Rattus norvegicus: one gene and its partners. The protein of the gene in region 5 interacts with the protein of the main gene of each other region in a pairwise test. Links are inferred from orthologs where the notes say so. Each region holds a gene or a part of one and is shown on either strand. Other genes may lie near its edges. The genes, in order: Tcl1a, Lsm10, Keap1, Clns1a and Lsm3.

What was found.
Region 1: the proteins of Lsm3 (region 5) and Tcl1a interact in binary tests that used the Homo sapiens proteins (3 or more experiments, as listed by UniProt). The two-hybrid records come from large-scale screens. The link is inferred for Rattus norvegicus from reciprocal best matches to the Homo sapiens genes LSM3 and TCL1A.
Region 2: the proteins of Lsm3 (region 5) and Lsm10 interact in binary tests that used the Homo sapiens proteins (3 or more experiments, as listed by UniProt). The link is inferred for Rattus norvegicus from reciprocal best matches to the Homo sapiens genes LSM3 and LSM10.
Region 3: the proteins of Lsm3 (region 5) and Keap1 interact in binary tests that used the Homo sapiens proteins (3 or more experiments, as listed by UniProt). The two-hybrid records come from large-scale screens. The link is inferred for Rattus norvegicus from reciprocal best matches to the Homo sapiens genes LSM3 and KEAP1.
Region 4: the proteins of Lsm3 (region 5) and Clns1a interact in binary tests that used the Homo sapiens proteins (3 or more experiments, as listed by UniProt). The link is inferred for Rattus norvegicus from reciprocal best matches to the Homo sapiens genes LSM3 and CLNS1A.

What each region holds. Positions count from the first base shown.
Region 1 is NC_086024.1:129,892,954-129,897,173, forward strand, and holds the start of Tcl1a (T-cell leukemia/lymphoma protein 1A), read right to left. Parts: upstream 2,804-4,220; 5' UTR 2,743-2,803; coding exon 2,623-2,742; intron 1-2,622. UniProt on the Homo sapiens protein: Enhances the phosphorylation and activation of AKT1, AKT2 and AKT3. Promotes nuclear translocation of AKT1. Enhances cell proliferation, stabilizes mitochondrial membrane potential and promotes cell survival.
Region 2 is NC_086023.1:143,657,213-143,660,884, reverse strand, and holds Lsm10 (U7 snRNA-associated Sm-like protein LSm10), read right to left. Parts: upstream 2,330-3,672; 5' UTR 2,240-2,329; exon of another isoform or gene 1,413-2,239; intron 1,255-1,412; 5' UTR 1,231-1,254; coding exon 862-1,230; 3' UTR 501-861; downstream 1-500. UniProt on the Homo sapiens protein: Appears to function in the U7 snRNP complex that is involved in histone 3'-end processing. Increases U7 snRNA levels but not histone 3'-end pre-mRNA processing activity, when overexpressed. Required for cell cycle progression from G1 to S phases.
Region 3 is NC_086026.1:28,051,240-28,055,448, forward strand, and holds the start of Keap1 (kelch-like ECH-associated protein 1), read right to left. Parts: upstream 2,804-4,209; 5' UTR 2,528-2,803; intron 2,387-2,527; exon of another isoform or gene 2,247-2,386; intron 1,209-2,246; 5' UTR 1,162-1,208; coding exon 523-1,161; intron 1-522. UniProt on the Homo sapiens protein: Substrate-specific adapter of a BCR (BTB-CUL3-RBX1) E3 ubiquitin ligase complex that regulates the response to oxidative stress by targeting NFE2L2/NRF2 for ubiquitination.
Region 4 is NC_086019.1:161,429,201-161,433,473, reverse strand, and holds the start of Clns1a (methylosome subunit pICln), read right to left. Parts: upstream 2,806-4,273; 5' UTR 2,781-2,805; coding exon 2,641-2,780; intron 1-2,640. UniProt on the Homo sapiens protein: Involved in both the assembly of spliceosomal snRNPs and the methylation of Sm proteins.
Region 5 is NC_086022.1:125,577,031-125,580,988, reverse strand, and holds the start of Lsm3 (U6 snRNA-associated Sm-like protein LSm3), read right to left. Parts: upstream 2,805-3,958; 5' UTR 2,705-2,804; coding exon 2,684-2,704; intron 2,003-2,683; coding exon 1,892-2,002; intron 1-1,891. Other genes in the region: Xpc (DNA repair protein complementing XP-C cells), read left to right, coding at 2,964-3,057. UniProt on the Homo sapiens protein: Plays a role in pre-mRNA splicing as component of the U4/U6-U5 tri-snRNP complex that is involved in spliceosome assembly, and as component of the precatalytic spliceosome (spliceosome B complex).

The DNA of each region.
Region 1 (4,220 bases), on a different chromosome or scaffold from region 5:
CGTCCCAGCCACAATGTGATGCCTGGTTTGTGGGGTTCTCACAGTCTACGCAGCAAGCCTCACCAAATCTGTGAAGGGCGAGCTCCCTTTTGGGCAGCCCTCTGTTCAAATGTAGGTCTATAAAGAACAAACACTACATAAAAACCACGTTAGAGTAGTGATGAAACATACAGTTTTATTAACTGACAGGAGTTAAAATTCATTGTTTTGAAGCAGGACCTCATCATATCTAATTCTTGCCAGTTTGGAACTTGCTCTACAGGCCAAGCTAGCCTCAGACTTACAGAGCTCCACCTATCTCTGCCTCCCAAGTGCTGAAATCAAGGGAGAATACCACATAGGCACCACATGTAGTCAGTTCCTGTCCATCATGTGCATCCTGGGAAATCAAACTCAGGTCATTGGGTTTGGTGGCCGTAGTGGCTATTCCTGGTTGTCAACTTGACTGTATCTGGAATGAACTACAATCCAGAATTGGAAGGCTCACCTTTGATCCTGATCTTGAGGCTGGGAGATACAAGTTTCTAACCTGGATCTTGAGGCACAGTGGCTATGTATCCCAGGAGCTTAAGGCAAGGAGATCTCTGAGTTCAAGGTCATCTGGGACAAAACAAGTACCTGACCCAGGCATGGGAGTACACAACCATTAATCTGGGACACCCCTTCTGCTGGAGATTTACATAAGGACACTGGAAGAACGGAGGGTCTCTTTTTTTGTCTGCCTGCCTTGTAGCACTGAGCCACCACTAGAACCTTGAACTTCCATTCACAGCTGCTACTGACCATGGTTGGAGAGTTGGATTACAGACTAAGTCATTGACCAATTCTCCCGTAAGTTCTATGGCTCTAGAGAACCCTAAGACAATGAGAAACCTGGTCTCAGCCACCTCACCAGCTCCTGAAAATGAGTTTTATCCACCGATTTGGGATGGAAAAAACAAAACGGAAAATTCACCACCTAAACACACAAAGCATCTTCCCCCAACACACACACACACACACACACACACACACACCCAGTACAAGCAAACCATACAAGGCAGACCAGTTAAGACCTGGTGGGACCAAACAGCACAGGCCTGCAATGCCTACTACTCAATAAGCTGAGGCAGGAGGATGGATCCTAAGTCCAAGGCCTACCTGGGATACAAAGGGAGCTTAAGGTCAACCTAAGCAGCTAAGACCAAGTCTCAAAACTGAAGACCTGTACAAAAGGGCTGGGCTGTGGCTGTGCAGTAGAGTTCTCGTCTGTTCTGCACAGAGCCCTGGGTTTGCTCGTCAGCAGTGCAGGGGAAGAGAAAGCAATTTGAAACAAGACGACTCAAAATGTGACAGGCGACCACAGTCTGTGAGTTCACAGTGTGCTGACGCCCCCTCTCCACAGCACAACTCACTTCCCCCGCCCCCAACCCCCATGCCTACTTTCTTCCCCCACAGGACTCATCTGCCAGCCTAATCATTACTTTGGTTACCCCATTCCCCACTGCACCTCCTTCCCAAGAATAGGGCTCCTACCATACTCCCTGCATGCCCTCAGTGCAGACCTGTGTTTGGGATTTACACTAAGCACTCTCAGGTGTTTAACAAGTGCACTTTTCCCCCAACGTGAGACCACTCCTGTGTAATGATCTGCGGACGACGAGATCAGTTGAATCTGTTAAGTCAGATTGTGGTGCCAGGTGTGTAAGCTCCACCATTCACAGCCCCTGAGTCAACAATCTAACCACTGTTACAAATTATCCTGTTTCCTTATTAAAGCACACATACACGGCTTCTTCAGTCATGGGAAATAAACCCTGCCTTGGAGTTCGCTACCAGGCTCCTCCTGTTCAGACAGCATCTACCACACCTCTGGAACACTCGTTGGCTCACGGTTTGCATGAAAAGCTAGTCATTAACCGGATATTAACAAGAAATAGCCACCCATGTTGTCTTCACACATCTGACTTAATGTTTAAAAAAAAAAAAACTAGATATATGTAAAGTTAGCGTTGTAAAATGACAGCAAGAATGTAAATTTAAGAGCCCAGAACTGTGGCTCCACCATTTACTAGCAGCACCCCAAGTCTGCCAGGAAGCCCCACCATCTACTAGTCACTCCCAAGGCTCACAATCCCCAACTTTGCCGGAGTGGAGCCAGTTCTCAGGCCCTGGCGTACCACGCAACGTCTCAGCAGTTTAATTTTGCTTTTATAGCTTCTCTTGGCTTTACAAGTGGAATACTTTCTGCTGGAAAGTACCTCTAGAAGAGATTTCTTTTGAAAGCACCAATGTTCATTAAGACCCATGCCGAGGACTCCACACGCAAAACAAAGTTAAGTCTTATTACCAACGTGGATACTACTGGCTACCCAATTTTATGGTTTAGGGAAGCCTTGTTTCACCCCAAATCATAATCACACACCCCAGGCAATGTGTGAGAGGGGCTTGTTCACTGAACTCGGGGTGCCCCCACCCTCCTCCAGGCAGGCCCACAAGGCCCGACTCATCTGGGGTTTCCCTAGTCCTCCTGTTTCAGGCACAAGGGACCCGCTGTACTCTGGTCTCCTGTTACCAGGACTCCCAAGCCCAGACAGGGTATACCCCTGCTGCCCGACCTGCTAGCCCCAAGGCGGTTGGTACCTTGATGACTATCGGCAACCAGCTGCGACGAAATTCATCCAAGTACACGTGCTTCTCCCAGAGCCACAGGCGGTCGGGGTGTGGGGGTGTCTCTGGCCTGTATGCCAGCTGGTTAGCCATGGCATCCGGTCGGAGCAAGAAGCAAAAAATTGCAATGCCAGTCCGTGATAAAGCGACTTCCTAAGCAGAGAGCATAAGAAACTTGCTATTTATCACCACCAGGTGTGGGCCTGTGCCCCCTGGAGCGAGGCGGGGCGGGGCGGGGCAGCGTAGTGTGGGTGGGGCGAACCACAAGGATGGTATGCAGGACACTCAAGTGGACTTCCACCAGGTCTACGTTTGCAGACCTGACCCATCAGACCTAGGGTTCTTCAAGGCCCCCAGGAGATGTTGCTTCTCTCCAGGTACACCCGGCCACCGGAAAGGTATCCATGACCTGTCAGGAAAAACAGCCCTTTGCGTCCTTTATGGTGAGACCCCACGGTCCTAGCTACTTTGTGTGACTGCTCAAGCCACACACACCCCCATGGCAGAACACCCAGAGTGAGGTCCATCTACATATCTCCTGGGATCAGAAACCAGTCCGGTTCTCCATCACCTTCAGCCAGTCCTTTTGGGTGTCACAGGCAGTTTCCTTTGCAAAGTTCAGTCCCCTCCCTCTTCCGCTCATGACTTTTTCCATGGCTCTGATGAGGCTGTGGTCTTCTAATAAGTCTTGCAAAACATACTTTTGAAAACATGGGTTTACTGTCTTTGTCCTCCGACTTAGAGAATGCATCAGTCCAGACCCAAACTTAAAAAGAAACCCTCCCTACACCCAAGATCAATGGATTTGGAAAGTCTCTGAGTTGCTCAACCAAAACTGTCTCGTTGTAAACAAATAAGGAAAACCAACTTTCATTATTTTACAGTAACGCCTGCCCATTAAGGCAATTAAGAAATTAATGGAAAACATGGAAAACCCAACTCTGGGCTGGATGCTTCAAACAGCCCTTCAGCTAGCATCTGAGCCTTGGCCTCACTGAGGACTCACGGAGGAAGCCATTTGTGGTCTTCGGAAGGTCAATCCCCCAGAAGTGTCAAAATGGCCTGAGGTCAGCCTGGTGGGTTCAGATTAACCGGAAAAAGAAACAAAGAAAAGACTTAAGCCCTTCAAGCGCAGACCTTGGCCTTCAGAATTCAGACTAGCTGCTTTTGTGCCCATTTCCCTGTAGATGACTGTCTCCAAACCCAGGTAACTTCGTAGAAAGATGAAGACTTTTGGAATAAGCTTGGTGTGGAAGTTCTGGGTGAGTGCAGCCTTAGCAGGAGGATAATTACTTATTTTTTTTTTAAAGATTTATTCATTTATTATATACAAGTACACTGTAGCTGTCTTCAGACCCACCAGAAGAGGGCACCAGATCTCTTTATAGATGGTTGTGAGCCACCATGTGGTTGCTGGGAATTGAACTCATGACCTCTGGAAGAGCAGTCGGGTGCTCTTAACCGCTGAGCCATCTCTCCAGCCCAATTACTTATTTTTAATTCATTATTTTGTGTTTGTATTTGGGTGTGCCTGCCATGTAGGGCTCGGAGAAAAACATCGTAGGTCCTTG
Region 2 (3,672 bases), on a different chromosome or scaffold from region 5:
TGGACTAGCCTCAAACTCATGATCCTCCTGCCTCTGCCTCCTTCATTAAATCCTACTGTGTGCACCACTACTCCTGGTCTCCTTTGGTTTTTTGAGGCAGGGATTTCACCCTTAGCCGAGGCTGATCCTTGTTCTTTAGCCTCCTGAAAGCCAGGATTATACATGTGAAACACTATGCCTGGCTGAGATCAATTTCTTATTAGCTGAACTCTCCAGCCTGAGAGGAGGACCAGGGCATCCAGACTCTGGGCTTTAGTGACTAGCAGGAAAATGATAGTCTCAAGGACTCTCCAACAGAAAGGCCACTTTCCGTTAGATTTTTTCGTAATAATCTGGGAAACAGGGCCACAATCCAGACCAAGTAAATCCTGGTGTGCTCTCCACCTGCACTCTGCTCCTACACAGGAGCCAGAAGCCCAGTACACACCAGGCAGGGCATCAGGCAGAGACCCAGAGCATTAGAGCATGTGTATCGCAGGACAAGGACTACAAGTCCCAGGAGTTTGGTTTTATGAGAAAAGAAACAAATGACAAGAGAAATGGGATGTTAGAGGTGATTCACTCCAAACACTCTCAAGTAATCCTCACTGGCAGAGTTAACAACTCCTTGATGGATGGGGTCAATCAGTGAATGGAGATTCCAGATACAAATGATCAAAAAGAGGGATTGTCACCTACCCCAAGGCCACCAGCAGAAGGAATTCTGGGTCCCAAGGTGTGTCTGAAAAGTGGAACCCTATGAAAGGCAGCTGTGATGTGTCTATAAGACACCAGGTCATTGGTGGGGAAGGATGGACGGGAGTTGGCTCAGAACACTGGAGGTCCCTGAGGTGGTGCTGGAATTTGAATGAGGACACAGTCTCATGGCCTTTTGGAGGGGAACTCTCGACGACCTTGACCCTTGCCACCAAAGTTGCGCACACGGTGGATGATCTGTAGCTGCTGCTCGATTGTGGCAGTGATGTTCACACCGTCTGGGATATGGACATATCGGACATTACGACCTGTCACGAAAAGGTCATCCAACTCAACCTGATGCCCCCAGCGGTCGGTGTAGGTGACATTGGCCAGACGGATGTTCATGAAAGCATCAACGTTGTCGATGCGTCCTCGGGCCACACTCTCATCTCGAAGGTCCACAGTGGTTATTTGTCCCTGGAGGCCTTGCAACAGGATGATCAGGCTGTTCTCAGAGATGGTTCGCTCCTTCACAGAGTGGCTCAGTGCCATTTTTCCACATTGGTTGGCTGCTCACTGTGGGCAGGAACACACAAATAGATGGTAACTTACCTTTGCAAAGCCCTGAAACTCCACACTAGTGCTCCGGACCCCTCACTGCACTGGATACACCTGGGGAAACTTTTGCCTGGCCTATGCATACCACGCAACCCACGCATCCCAGAGAGATTCACTTGCCTGGGAAGGAGAGGTCCAGATTGTTTTGGTTTTGTTGTTGTTTTTAAAGACAGGGTCTTACTATATCTCCCTGAGTAGGCTAGAACTTGATATGTAAACAAGTGTGGCCTGGAACTCGCAGAGATCAACCTGTCTCTTCTCACAGGTGCTGAGATTCAAGGTGTGTGCTATTTTTAAATGATTTTGGGACAGGGTTTCTCTAGGTTGCCCTGGCTGTTCTGGAACTCTCTATGTAGACCAGGCTGGTCTCAAACTCATCAAGATCCTCCTACCTCTGCCTCTCTAGTGCTGGGATTTAAAGGCGTGTGCTACTATGTTTAGTTTATACCTTTTTTTTTTTAAAGGCACCCCTGATAATTTTAATGTGCCAATCGGCTTGAGAACCACTACTGTAAATTGTAATTTATGTATGTCCTCTGCCAAGCGCTTGTTAATATGCAATCTAGCCAAACATGATGGCGGCACACTTATACCATTAAAGTCTGAGGCAGGAGAAGCACCCTAAACGCCAAACCGGCCTGAACTATATCGTGAACTCCGGGTCAATCTGGATTATGGAATGTTTCCAAAACAAAACAAGCCAAGCCTAGCCAACCAAGATGCATGCATTTAAGCCCAGCTCTCAGGAGGCAGAGGCAGGTGGATCTCCGAGTTACAGACCGACACCCTGTCTTAAAACAAAATCCAAAAGGACAGTCTTTGAGATCTCCAGGCAGGCCCTGACTTTAGCTCCGGTTCTGCTGCTTCCAGGAAGGGAGGCCTGGGGCTTGCCATTAGCGGTCAATCCGGGAAAGTCGGGTGCCTAGTGCGTCCCTTTCCTCACCGCGCGTAAGGGGTTTGGGAAGAAGAGTCCGCAGCCAGTGCGCCAAGGGAAGAGGCCGCCCGGGTCCCAGCGAACCCTAGTCCCCACACTCTACTGCCCGACCCACCGCGTGATGCCTTCCGCCTTCCGCGCGCTACGCCGCCAAAACCCGCCTGTGTCTAGGGGAACACCCACGGAGGCTCAGAGAAGCCATGGCAACCGCGGGAGACCCAGAGCATCAGAGCATGCGCATCGCAGGACACGGACTACAAGTCCCAGGAGGCCGCGCGCCTCACGTCCACTCCCCTTCTCTACCTAGTTTTCCACCTTTGTAGGCTTCCACCTTTGGGGCTTGGAGCTGTGTCCCCTGTTGGCCTTCTGAGCTGATGGCGCTGCGTGAGAAAGAGCATCTGGAAAAAAAAAAATAAGGGAAAAAAAAGTTAAACGTTCTTCACCTGATTAAAATTCAGCGAATGTGGCCGGACGTGGTGGCAAACTCCCTTAATTCCAGCGACTCCAGAGACAGAGGCGCTCTGTGAGTTGGAGAGACCAGGAGAGCAAGGATAGCTAACCCTGTCTCAAAGAGGAAAACACAGGGCTATGGAGAGAGTGCTAAACTTTAGCAATTAAGACCACACACGGTCTGGAGAGATGGCTCAGCGTTAAGAGCACTGACTGCTCTTCCGGAGTTCCTGAGTTCAATTCCCAGCAACCACATGGTGGCTCACAACCATCCATAATGAAGTCCGATGAAATAAATCTTTAAAAAAAAATACTGTATATTATTGCAGATGGCCTAAATCTGATTCCCAGCTCACAAGTGCCTGTAATTAACAGTTAAAAATAAAATCTAGAGCTGGGCATGGAAGCACACATCTTTAATCCTAGCACTCGGAGACAGAGGCAGGTGGATCGCTGTACTTCAAAGCCAGCCTTGGTCTACAAAGGTCAGCCAGAAGCCCTGTCTTGAAAAAAAAAAAACAAAACAAAACAAACAAACAAAAAAAAAAAACAAATCTAGTAAGGTTTAATTTTAACTTATCTGTTTCTGTGTTCGCGTGTAATGGCATACAATGTGTGAGTGGTGGCTGCTCTCAGAAGGCAGCATCAATTCCATGGGACTACAGGTACAGCTGGTGAAAACTGAACTCAGGTCCTCTGAAAGAGTGTATGTGTTCTTAACACCTGAGCCATCTCTCCTGCTCCTAAAAATAACAAATAACATCTTTATTTAAAGTGTGTGTGTGTGTGTGTGTGTGTGTGTGTGTGTGTGTGTGTGTGTGTGTGTGTGTTAGCCAGGAGGGCTAGAAGAGGGTGTCTGATCCCCTGGAACTGGAGTTATAGTTGTGAGCCCATTGTGAGCTACTTGCTGGATGCGGGTACTGGGAACCCGATTCGGGTTCTCTGCAAGAGCTGGATGTATTGTTCTTTCATTTTTTAGGAGGATGGGGTTT
Region 3 (4,209 bases), on a different chromosome or scaffold from region 5:
CTGCCAAAAAAAATAAAATCTAAGGTGCTGGAGAGATGACTCAGCAGTTGAGCGCACTACTGACTGCTCTTCCTGAGGACCAGAGTTCAAATCCCAGCACCCACGTGGCAGCTCACAACTGTCTGTAACTCCAAGACCTGACCCTTTCACATAGAAAAACATTCAGGCAAAACAATAATGCACACAAAATAAAGGTAAATGAATTTTTAAAAAAAGATTTAAAAACAAAAGTAAAACCAAGTCCTGGGGCTCTGCGTTCCATTCCAGTATCTCTTAAGTATACTGGGAGTCTGTGACTACAGTACTTGGGAGACTGACACAGGAATCAGGAACTTAAAACCATCCTCAGATACACAACCAGATTAGGGCCAGCCTGAGCTACATGAGGCCCTATGGAGAAAAGGAGGAAGAAAAAAAGAAATCTTCCTCCAGCCTTGAATGGCCGCTCCAGTCTCGGAGAGCACTATGCTGGCCCATCCCACTTCTTGTGACAACTGAGCCCAAACCCCAGGTCTTACTCACCTCCCCGAAGTGCATGTAGATATACTCCCGAGCACGCTGGTGCAGTTCCGTGCAGCCGATCTGCTCGGCGAAGTTGGCGATGCCGATGGCGTTGCTGGGGTCCAGCTGCTGCACGAGGAAGTCGCTGCAGGCTCGGACCACGCTGTCAATCTGGTACATGACTGCCCCGTTCATCACATGCAGCACACACTTCTCGCCCACGGAGATGGAGGCCGTGTAGGCGAACTCAATTAGCCTCTCCATGACCTTGGGGTGGATGCCTTCAATGGACACCACCTCCATGCCCTGCTCCCGAAGCCCGTTGGTGAACATAGCTTTAAAGACTGGGCTGGAGGAGGCCAGCACCACTTTGTGGGCCATGAATTGGGCAGCTGGGATGTCCTCATATTTGACCTGCAGGGTCACGTCACAGAGCTGCTGGCTCAGCCGAAGCTCGTTCATGATGCCAAAAGCCTGCTTGGTGTGATCCTCTAGTGTGTAACTGAAGGTTCGGTTACCATCCTGCGAGGGCGTCACCTCCGCCTTGCACTCCGTGGATGCATACATCACCGCGTCCCCTGCCCCCTCCGGGCACTTTGACCACAGGGGCAGGAACTGGCTGCTGCGGGGAGCCCCGCTAGGCTTGGGTTCGGGCTGCATGGGGTTCCTGATGACAAGATACAGTTCCACCACTAGCGATTAGGGGCCTGGAAGGAGGGAAGAGTACAGGGCTGGATTAGGCCAGACCCTGCCACATTTTTTTTTTGTTTGTTTGTTTGTTTCTTGTTTTCTTTTGAGACAGGGTCTTAGCCTAGGCTGGCTTCAAACTCACTATGTAAACAAGGCTGTTTGCTGTTTCCTCCCGTGTACTGGGACTACAGTTTGTGTCACCATATCTAGCCAAGCTTTAATTTTTTTTTTTTTTTTTAGACTAAGCAATGATTTCTAGAGCAGTTTTTGTCAAGCCAAGTGAACTGGACACACCCGGCTCCATTCAAACTGACTTCTTCTCAAATCACCGGCCGTTCCTTTTCCTGCTCAGAATCACCCAATACCTATCCCAGAGCCCAAGAGTGGAAACCCAGCTCCTCAATGGCCTGTAAAACTCCACACCCCCTTCTAGACCTCTTCACTCAGTTCCAGCCATGCTTCCCTTCCCTTCATCCGACATGTCAAATCCCTTTCTTCAACACCTCACCAAAATTTACAGAGCCTGCCATTTATACTTGCAACTGTTCTGAGCTCCAGGGACACAGCAGGAAGACAGAAAAGGCCTGAAAATAAAGCAAGGTCTGTATAGAAAACACTAGGCGAGCACCAAGGCCCTGGGCAGAGTGTGCAGCCTCTGGAACACCCACGGTGAGGGATTCAGGAGACCCTTGGAGACCTGGGGCCAGGACAGGAGTTATGCTTTCAAAGGAGATGTGGGGACACAGAGAGGGCCTGCAGCTGGCTCCCCAGGTTCTGGGGCTCAGCCTGGAGTCGCGTCCCCCAGTGTTATGTCTACTAGGTCACCATGGGGGGGACGACGATGAAATGCTCCAGGGGCCCCAGTAAGTGAGCGACTGTCACGCGTGACCACACTGCCGGAGCTCGGGCCTGGCATTGCGCAGAGGGCTGAGCAGCAGCCACCCGGTACCCGGTGCCTGCTCCAGCGGCCTCCCTAACGCTCGGAGGCGCAGCCCTGACGCCTGGAGAGCCCGCAGGGCCTGGTCCCGGGCCGCGGCCCGGAGCGGCGCACTCACCCCGCCATGGCCGCGCTCTGCCTCCGCCTCCGCCGCGCGGGTCACGGTGACTAAGCACAGCGCACCACCCTGTCACAATAAGAGTCCCGGGGCGCCGGCCGCGGGCGACCCCTACCCTCGACTCGCCTCGGCCACCACCCTACGCGGGTGCACGGGCTGGGCGCGGGTGCGCACTTGGAGGGGTCACGCGCTTCCCCCCACCGCGTGCACGTCCCCACGCGCGACCGCGGGCGGCGCCCGGAGCTGGCTCCCCACCGCATCCTCCGCGGGCGCTCGCTCACCTCCGTCCCACCCCCCCGGGTGTCTCTGTTGGTGCCACGCGTCCAATCCGCACCGCCGGGCCGCCACGCGCCGCGCTTCCGGGAGGAGCCGAGGGCAGCCAGGGGGCCTCGGATCGGGGCAGCGGTGCTGCGGGGTCCCGGGCGGCACGCGTGGGAGGAGCGGGAGGGCGGAAACAGGCGGCGGGCACGCAGAGGCGGTTCCAGCCCTTCCTGCAGGTGCCGGGCGGAGGGAGCAGGGCGTGGGTCAGGGCGGCCCTAGGAGCCTGCCTCCGGGTTAGGCTGTCCAGTACGCCTCTAGCTGAACCTGCCCCAGCGGACCCTCCCACACCCTACCCGGCCCAGCCAGACCTATGTACCTGGTTGAGATACAGATCTTCCTTTAAAATAACTTTTTAATGGTTTCTATTTCAATTCGCATTTTACTTTATGTGTGTGGGTGTTTTGCCTGCGTGTATGTCTGTGCCCCGTGGGCGTGCAGTGCCCCCTAAAGTTACAGGTTATCCACCCTGTGGAGAGGGGGAATTGAACTCTGGTCTTCTGCAAGAGCAACAGGTACTCTTAACTGCTGAGCCAGCACCCCAGCCTTATAACTTCTTTTTTGAGAATGGCCTCATTACATAGCCCTGGCTGGCCTCTGCCTCTCGCTCTGCCTCCTGCGTGCCGGGGTGAGGGGGAGTGGGGGGGTGGGGGTTTAAAGGCTGTGACACCACGCAGGGCTTTGTGTACATTAATTTATTTGTGTGTATGCTTGTGTGTAGAGGTCGGGGGATGACTGGCAGAAACTGATTCTCTTCCCCTATGTGGAGCCTGCAAGGTGCAACAGCAGCCCACTTTCCTCTCTCCTCTCTCTGTAGTCATTTTTTCATGAGGAGAGGTGTGGCATTCATCTGAGGGTGTTGGAGAGTTGGAATGCCCAGAATTGCCTTTCTTTGCATTTCTCATTATATATATATATATATATATATATATATATGATAAGAGATTCTTATTTGCTACAAAGGCATTTATGAGAGAAAATTATTTTCTTGACCTATAAGATTTGGCCAATTCTGGCAACTAAGTTCCATCCCTGTTTCTCACGTGGTAGTAAAAAACTTACTCCTCCAAGTTGTCCTCCAACCTCCACATGCACACATAAATTAATTTTGGAAAATAAAGTTATTATTGGTGCTGGAGAGATGGCTCAGTGATTACAGCACTGACAGCTCTTTCAGAGGACCCAGGTTCAATTCCCGGAACTGGTATTAGGGTCAAAATGAACGCCTATAACTCCAGTTACAGGGGATCCCATACCCTTTTCTGGCTTCCACAAGCACCACAACCATGAAGACAAAACACCCATACACATAAAATAAAGATAAATAAAAAAATTTAATATTATTTGACTGACTGGTGCAGACAAGATGTCATTTTTAGCCCAGGCTAGCTTTGAACTCTGTCTCCTGTCTCCATCTCTCCAATGGGATTACAAATGTGTATTCTGGGTTTTTTCTTTCAATTTATTTTTAATTTCATGTTCATTGCTGTTTTGCCTGCATGTATGTCTGTATAAGGTGCATACTGGATCCCTTGGAACGGGAGTTACAGATGGTTGTGAACTGCCATGTGGGTTCTGGGAATTGAACCCAGGTCCTCTGGGAGAGCAGCCAGTGCTCTTAACTGCTGGGCTATCTCTCCAGCCC
Region 4 (4,273 bases), on a different chromosome or scaffold from region 5:
ATTGTTGGATTAACTAGACCTCACCTGTAAGTCATCCTAACAAATCCATATTCTCAAAAGATATGCCTACTGCAGAGTTCAGGGTATAAAAGTGCTTAAAAAAACAAAACCCTCTTCATCTATAGAGCAACTCTGATGGTGGACAAAGCCAGGTGTTTATGCAAGAAACACATGAATGTGAAGGGAAGCAAGTTTGGTATGTTGAGGGGTGAGTTTGGTTGGTGTATGTATGGAGTAGTTGGGCTTCTGTGTCTGTATCTTAGGAGACTGGTATCAAACAGCATAAAAATAACTTTTATTCTCCTACAGTAAGTGTCATCTCTGAAGTTTAATTCCTCCGCTGCTAACCTAGGCCTAGTCTTGGAAGACTCTAGCCTCCGTACAATCTAATCTAGGCTAGACTTACTGCTGAAAAAACTCGCCCTTTCCCATTCTTTCTGACTGGTTTAACTTGGCTCTTTTGGGGCAAACTCCTCTCCAAGATGGCTGATTCAATCTGGTTTCTCTCAGTTTCTCCTGAATTGTTCTGCTTGGCATCAAACTAACTCTAGCTGATCTGACTACTCATTCTCTGCCCCCCCCCCCCTTTTTTTTCTCTAACCTGTCTCTGTACAACTATTCCAGTAAAACTGTCTCCTTCCTTTTTCTGCACAGCTCTTAAATAGCTTCCCTTTCCTCTCATTTCTCCTGAGAGTTGGGCATATCCTATTTGGTCAAGTCTTTCTCTGATTCATCACTCTGTCTGCCACTCATTTAGACATCACTTTCAATCATGGTGCTTCCTTCTACAAACTAACTTGACCTTCACTGTTTAGGATTCAAGGTGTATACTAAGGATGTGTCTGTCTTCCAGTCAGAGGCTATAAAGAGGTGTGCTAAAGGCTGAGCCACACCACGACTAGAAAAAAAGGACTTTTCTAGTATACACTCTTGGGGTTCACAGTGTGATCAAATGTCCAAAAGACAGATTTGAAATTCAAAAGAGTAGGTATTAACATACTCACTGGAGTAGGCTATATAGTCCAGAAGAGAGGGCCAGGCAAAGGACCTTAGAGAAATGCATGCGTAAAGAGAAAAAGACTTAGGAGAGGGAAGGTACACACAGTAAGATCTTGGGTGATCTCAACAATTTCTTCTGCATGTGGAGTGTGAAACACAGAAATAATCCTAACTCTGAAAAACAAGATCCATTTTATTTATCCATGTGTATTTTTGATGTCTTTTAATATTATTTAATTATTTATTTAATGTGTGTACACTATAACTGTCTTCAGACACACTAGAAGACGGCATCAGATCCCATTACAGATGGCTGTGAGACACCATGTGGTTGCTGGAAATTGAACTCTGTACCTCTGGAAGAGTAGTTAGTGCTCTTAAGTGCTAAACCATCTCTCCACCCATGTGTATTAGTCAGGGTTCTCTAGAGTAACAGAACTTACAGAATGAATGAATGAATCTCCACCACTTCTTCCTACCCACCCCCTTTCTTTCTCCCTCCTGACTGCTCCAAACCTTTTATATATATATATATATATATATATATATATATATATATATATATACACATATATATATATATGTGTGTGTGTGTGTGTGTGTGTGTGTGTGTGTGTATATATATACACAAACAAACTGAGTGCCCACCCACATATGTATTTCCAGTCGGTGTCTAAACACCCAGGCTTTGCCCCACCATCCAAACAGTTCTTTAAACAATTAACTTCTTACACTTTTATACCCTGGACTCTGGAGTAGGCATAATCTTGGTCCCTAAGAGATTTGTTTCCCAGTGCCATGACAGAGGGGATTCTGAATGTATTTAAGGTTACTAATCAACTGACTGTGATATAAAGGAGGCTAGCTTGGATTTTTCTAGGCAGGCCTAATGTTATTTATAACACTGAGCTCTTAAAAGAAAAGTAGCCTCTGGGGCCAACAAATGAAATACAGCAGATGGTAAACCAGAGAATCTGAAGGACAGAAAGTATGAGAAAGATAGTAAGGCGGGAGTGGGGGTGTGAGTGTGGGGTTGGGGGGAGACAGAGAGAGGGAGACAGAGAGAATAAGAACAGGAAAATATGGGGGTGGGCACGAAGGTATGAGCGTGTGTATAGTGTGTATTTTAGTGACTCGTCTATCTTATTGTGGAAGTACAAAGTCCTGCAAGTAGTCAAATACAAGAATTCCTTCCAAGACCTGCACATCCAGGAGTCGGGTTCGACTGGTTATGACTCCGCCCTGCGAGGGCCTGAAGATGCTCTTTTCCCCCACCCACATCTGGAGCGGAAAATCCAAGCTCATTAATCAAACGTCCTAAACCCGTCACAATCTCCTCTGAGCTACATATTCCACGCAGGGAAAACATCTAGTTCACACGATCATTCAGAAAGCCAGGCCCATCGAAAAACTAGCCGAGGCTCTGCAGACTCAAAACTAAACGCGACCACGCGCCAGGCTTGCAGGAGACAGGCACAAGTCGTTAATGAGAACAGAGCCAGCTGAGCTCCGGAGGGGGGTAATCCCACCGGGCCCGCATAACAGCAGCGTCGGCCGACGCCCCCCTGTAGTACCCCGTGGTCGCGCCTCTGGGAGGAAGGCGCCCCCGAAGGAGGCCGGCGCCGGAGTCCTGGAACCTACCTCTCCGCAATGTAAAGCGTGCCGGTGCCGAGCCCCTTCCCGTTCAGCACAGCTTCGGTGTCTGGCTGCTGCAGCCGGAGTCCATCTGCGGACCCAGGGGGCGGGAAGCTTTTGAGGAAGCTCATTGCGGGCGAAAGCATTGCTCCACAGGAACCAAGAAAGCAGAGCACCGCAATCCCGGTTCGCAGGGAGCTGCCCCGGAAGCAGTAGCCGTACTCCGGAAGAACAACTTTCTCATCGAGGAATTTCGCGTGCAGTTGACCATAGAGACGGGATGTTCTAGGCAACTCAGAGATCTGTAGCGAGCCGGCCTTCTGTCACGTGATACTGGTTCCCTTCTCAGGCTCCCGTAAGGGTGCTTAGAATAACCGAGTGTTTTCTCTGTGGTTCTACTTCAAGGTCGTCGCAGAAAACCCTGAGAGAGGCTGTATGAGGAATACGAAGACTTTCCCAATAAAAAGTGGGAATGGGCCTAGGCCCCTGGAGTCCCTTGCCTGAGCAGGACGCACAGAAATAAAATCCACACTCATCTGGAGGTCAAAAATCTCCGGGTTGGGTGCACCCTGCTTCCTCCTCGTCGGGCCTGTTCTTCTTGGGTTCACACAGCCATTTACCAGGCCTTTTAGTTCCCATGTCGCCGGAGAGGTCGAGTGCCCCATCCCCACGTGTCACGCCAGGAAGACAAAAAGATTACATTAATTGATCAGCAGCGCGGCCAGACAGTCAAAAGACAGTGCCCAGGGAAAAGGTCTGGAACCCTTGCCTTCCCAGCTTGCTAGGCCCCCAAAAAATACGTGCAGTGAAAACATACAGATTTAGTAAATAGAAACCTATAACCGAGGCTTATAGAACACACAGCATAAGGACCTTACCTCTTATTTCTTCATGGATTCGTTCGTGGTTTTAGATACAGGGCTTCCTTCTGTAGCCCATGCTGGCCTCCAATACATAATCGATATGCACCCTACTCTAGGGTACTAGAACTATTACGGGCATCCATCACTACACCTGCTCAATTCAGTTTTATTCTGATGATAAACAATATGAACACATTTTTATTACTGACCCAGTTTTACAGATGAGACCATTAAATTCACAAGCTAAAGTTTGGTAATGACTTGGTGGATGGAATTCAGTCAGCTGATCTCTAGACTCCACCTTTTTTGGCTGTAGAATTGTAATGTCTATGGGGTCAGGGCTGTTTAGGTTGGATAACATGTAGAATGTGATGGGAGTTTTGTCTTTCCTCCTCTTCCTTCTCTTTCTCTTCATCCTCCTTCCCCCACCCCTCCTTTTTTTTCTTTTTGGAATCGTCTCAACAGAAGTATCTTTAGATTTTTTTTTCCTTACGATTTAAAAAAACAAAACAACAACAAAAAAACCTCTGTGTACATATTGAGTGCAGTTGCCCAATGACTCCAGAAGTGGGCACTGGATCTGCTGGAACTCGTTACAGGCAGGTGTAAGCTACCCTGCCTGGGTGCAGTGAAACCATCTGCATTAGGCATTCTCAGAGGCTGGTCCAATGTCTCCAGTTCCAAGTGTTAACGCTTTTAAATTTAGCCAGTTTGTCATTAGTGAGACTAGAAAATTGGTCCACTGACAGGAATGAGAAGGTGGGAGTGGAGTATGG
Region 5 (3,958 bases):
TGCTCCCCACCGTATGTATTAAGGTAGTGTCTTTAAGTTGAACGCAAGAGCTTGTTCTGGGGTCTCCACAGGTGTTAGGGATCTAAACTTCAGCACTCAAACTTTACCCACCAATCATCTGTCCCACCTTTACTTTGCCCATTTATAACTTGTCCAGAGCTTAACATGCTTTGGCATCTGTGGGCTCAGGCAGGAAGGATTGCAACCACAGTGTTTAGTGCAACCTCCAAAGTTCATCCCTTTTACTAACAGCAAACCTCCTGGGGCTTGTTCAGAACCCACTTATATGTTCTTCTAACAAAGTGCTAAGTGCTTTTGCCTGCTCATATCAAGATTAAAAATAGCCAGGCGCCACATTGAGAAGGAACTGCTTGGCAGCTACACAAATGAGCAAAATGTTCAGCTGGAGAGCAGGGAGGAAACAGAAACCTGGGCCACTTACTACAGAGGTAAGAGCTTCAGACACCTCCAAACTAAAGGCGATGGTCTAGCCTGGGGTCATTCCATGTGCCGAAGAGCCTTTCAATTTAGCTCCATCCCATGTTTCTCACCAAACTGGCACCGCTGTTTCCCTAATGCTGGCTTGTAGATCAACAGTCCAATTTCCTTCCAAGTCACAGAGGTTCTTTATCCTCAGGTTTCATGAAAGAACTAAAAATTTCTTCATAGAAGAAAGACTGAGACTGTCCCCCACACTGGCTCTGTGGGTGCCAGTATGGGGCTATTTCTAAGCCTGAACTAAAAAGACTTAATTCCAATTCCCGTTGTAAACCAACAGCTCTGAGGAAAGTAACAAGAAGAGACAAAACCCTAAGTGCACAATAATGCTACTTCAAGGGACCAATTCCACAGGCATCATAAATGTGCACAAGCAATATATGTAAAAGTGCACAATGCAGTTTTAAGGCTGGAAAAACAAAAAAGTGACCGAAGCCTTATAGAGAATCCTGGGCAACTGTGTCAGCTGCATAATCATTCCACACAGAAACCGTGTGGAAAAGGTGTGTACATACCAGACAAGGTTTCACTATGTAGTCCAGACTGGCCTCAAATATATGACCTTCCTACCTCAGTCATCTAAGTACTGGAATTATGGGCACATGCCACCGTACCTCACTAGGATCCTCCTTCAAACACAGACAGCATATACACATGCAGAAAAGATGTGGACGACTATGTAGCCAACTTTGAATAGTGCAGAGAAAATGGAATTTCACCTTTAGATTTCTATGGTGTTTAATTTTTTTTTGGTAGTGCTAGGGGCTTTGCCACATACTAGGTGAACGATCTCTGGCCTGCTATTTAGTTTTTTTCATGTCAAAGGAGAGTTTTATATGTCGAAAACCAAAACACCCTGTCCAATAACTTTTAAAAACATAGGACAATGGCAAGAGTGGTAGTGCATGTCTAAAATCCCAGTTCTAAGGAGAGAGAGGCAGGAGGATCTTGAGTTTGAAGCTAGCTGGGTTACATAGTATGACCTTGTCTAAAACAAAAAGAAGTTTATTCATTTTAAATAAACAGAGGACAAAGCTGAAGAAAACAAAAGTGTTCTACAGGGTTGTAGAGATGCTCAAATTAAGAGCACTGGTTATCCCTGCAGAGGACCTGAGTTTGGCTCCTAGCAACCACACCAGGCAGCTCACAACTGTCTGTAACTCCAGCTCTGGGCAATCAGATGCCTTGTTCTGGTCTCACAGGAGTCCCATCCCTCTCTAAAAAACATTCTGGTTAAGGAAAAAATATTTTAAAAGCCAATAAAGGAATTTCCAACTCCCAAAAGTCATTGTATAATTAAAAAAAATAAGTTTATGTTGCAGTTCTTATCTGTAAGGAGGTAGGAAGGGATGACAGGGGAGCATCTGGTTTTGAGATAACTTAACAGACTTACATGTAATCTGCCTCGAAGCTCTCGGTCATTTCTCATTTTCACATAAATTCGCTCATCCAAGCTGAGTCTTATAAGATCCAGGGGCTCCTCTACGGTATTGGTGGTCTGTTGCTGATGAGAGAAGAAGGCTTAGTAATGGAACACTGAGGTAGTGTGGTGTTTCAATCACTGTTAAGCAGTGAAAGCAACATGTGGGTGTTGGTACACAGCCAGGGTTGTCTACAAGAGCCAAAAGTGCTCTTAACCACTAAGCCCCAATAAATCCCTATTAAGGAACTTATATTCTAGTTGTGGAACGAACATTTTAAATAAAGAACACATTTAAAACAACATGCTCTGAAGAGAAACACTGTGTGCCAGGTCTTTGCTTGTTTTCTATATACTACATCTCTAGCAGTTTCTCTATCTCACATAACTGCACCTTTTATCTGACCTCCCCTCGTAACACACTCCAAGTGAGCCACTGCCTGCGTGCCAGGTGCTTACACGTATTACTATGCTGGTGTCCTACCGCTACAGTACTCTTTCTGTCGGAATCCCGACCGTATCTCCCATAGATGGGATATCCACAGCCGTCTGCATTCTACAGAGAAAGGGCGACGACGAGCGAGATGGGCAGATGGGCGGGTTGAGAAACTCTGGGCCTACGGAAGTTTTAGGAGCAGGCCTGGCTGCGGAAGGCCGTGGGAACTCGGGAAAAAGAAAAGGGCCATTCCACGGGAAGCGTGGAAAAAGCAAGCCCGGCTAAGAAACGAAAGCACTTCCTCTTCGGACGCCCCAGGACAAACTTACCTGATCTACGTCGTCCGCCATGTTTCAAACGCTGCGCCCTTTCCACCTCTCGCGAGAGCAGACACTAGGAAACGTTGGGCCGCCACGCACTGGAAGGCGAACTACACTATTTTTGTCCCTTCGCGCCCTTGTAGTTTGCATGGGGGCGGGATTTTTTGGAGGGCGTGGTCCTATCCGGAGCTGGGGGTGCGGCCAGGCATGGCACGCCTCGGGGCGGAGCCGGCACGCGGAGACTTTCGGCAGTCCTGCGTGGTTGTCCGGAGGAACGCCTCTGGCTAGCATGGCCCGAAAGCGTACCGCAGGCGGAAAGCGGAGGAAGCGCGGCCAGGAAGCCGAGGACAACAAAGCAACCCGGCCTGAGGAGAGCGATGCGGGTGAGAGGCCAAGTCTGCAGCATGTCAGGCGATGGTGGCGGAGGCTGGGGCGGGCGGCGGAGCGGATCTGTGTCTACCGCAAGGTCTTTACGGCCCGATGCGTCCCCCCTCCAGCCCCCGAGGGCCTCTGCTATCTGTCTTAACCCCTCGGTTAACCTTTAGTACCAAGTTCAGCCCCATAGCAAGTGTTGAAGGCCGAGCTGGAGAAAGCTTCGCAATTGCCTGGTATCTCAGGAGATGCCAAAAACCAGGACCGAGGGAGACCTGTAGTGAGAGATCTCTCTCATCAAGTTCCTGACTGCCATCCAGTGTAACTCCAGCTCCGGGTTTTTAGGATGCGCTTTCTGTTACTCTTGTTTTTTGCTTTGTTTTTCCAGACAGGGTTTCTCTGTGTAGACCTAGCTGTCCTGGAACTTGCTTTGTAGACCAGGTTGGCCTCAAACTCAGAGATCCGCCTGTCTCTGCCTCCCTAGTGCTGGGATTAACCGGCATGCACCATTACGCCCTGGCTGGAATGAGTTTTTAATCTAGATCTTGAACAAGATCCATCTTTCCCCTTAAACATATCCATCCCCCCAGTTGTTCTATTTCAATAAATCATCCCTTTTAAAACACACGTTAGAACACATCTCTTCTTAACTGCCAGTTCGGCATCAAGTCCAGTTCAGCTTTGGAACCACCGAAATCTGTACTTAATTCTCTTAATTTTATAGCTAGAGATCTTGTCCATATCGTTAAGGAAATGAACTTCAGGTTGCTTCTTTTCTGGCTTCCTCTCATCTGTCTGCCCCATCATCTAGCAGCCAAATGGATGTAGAACCACAACAAAACCTTATGCCTCTGTCTTCTTACTTAAAACCTCCTTAGGTTTATGCTCTCCAAGTATAGCATCTACCTCTCT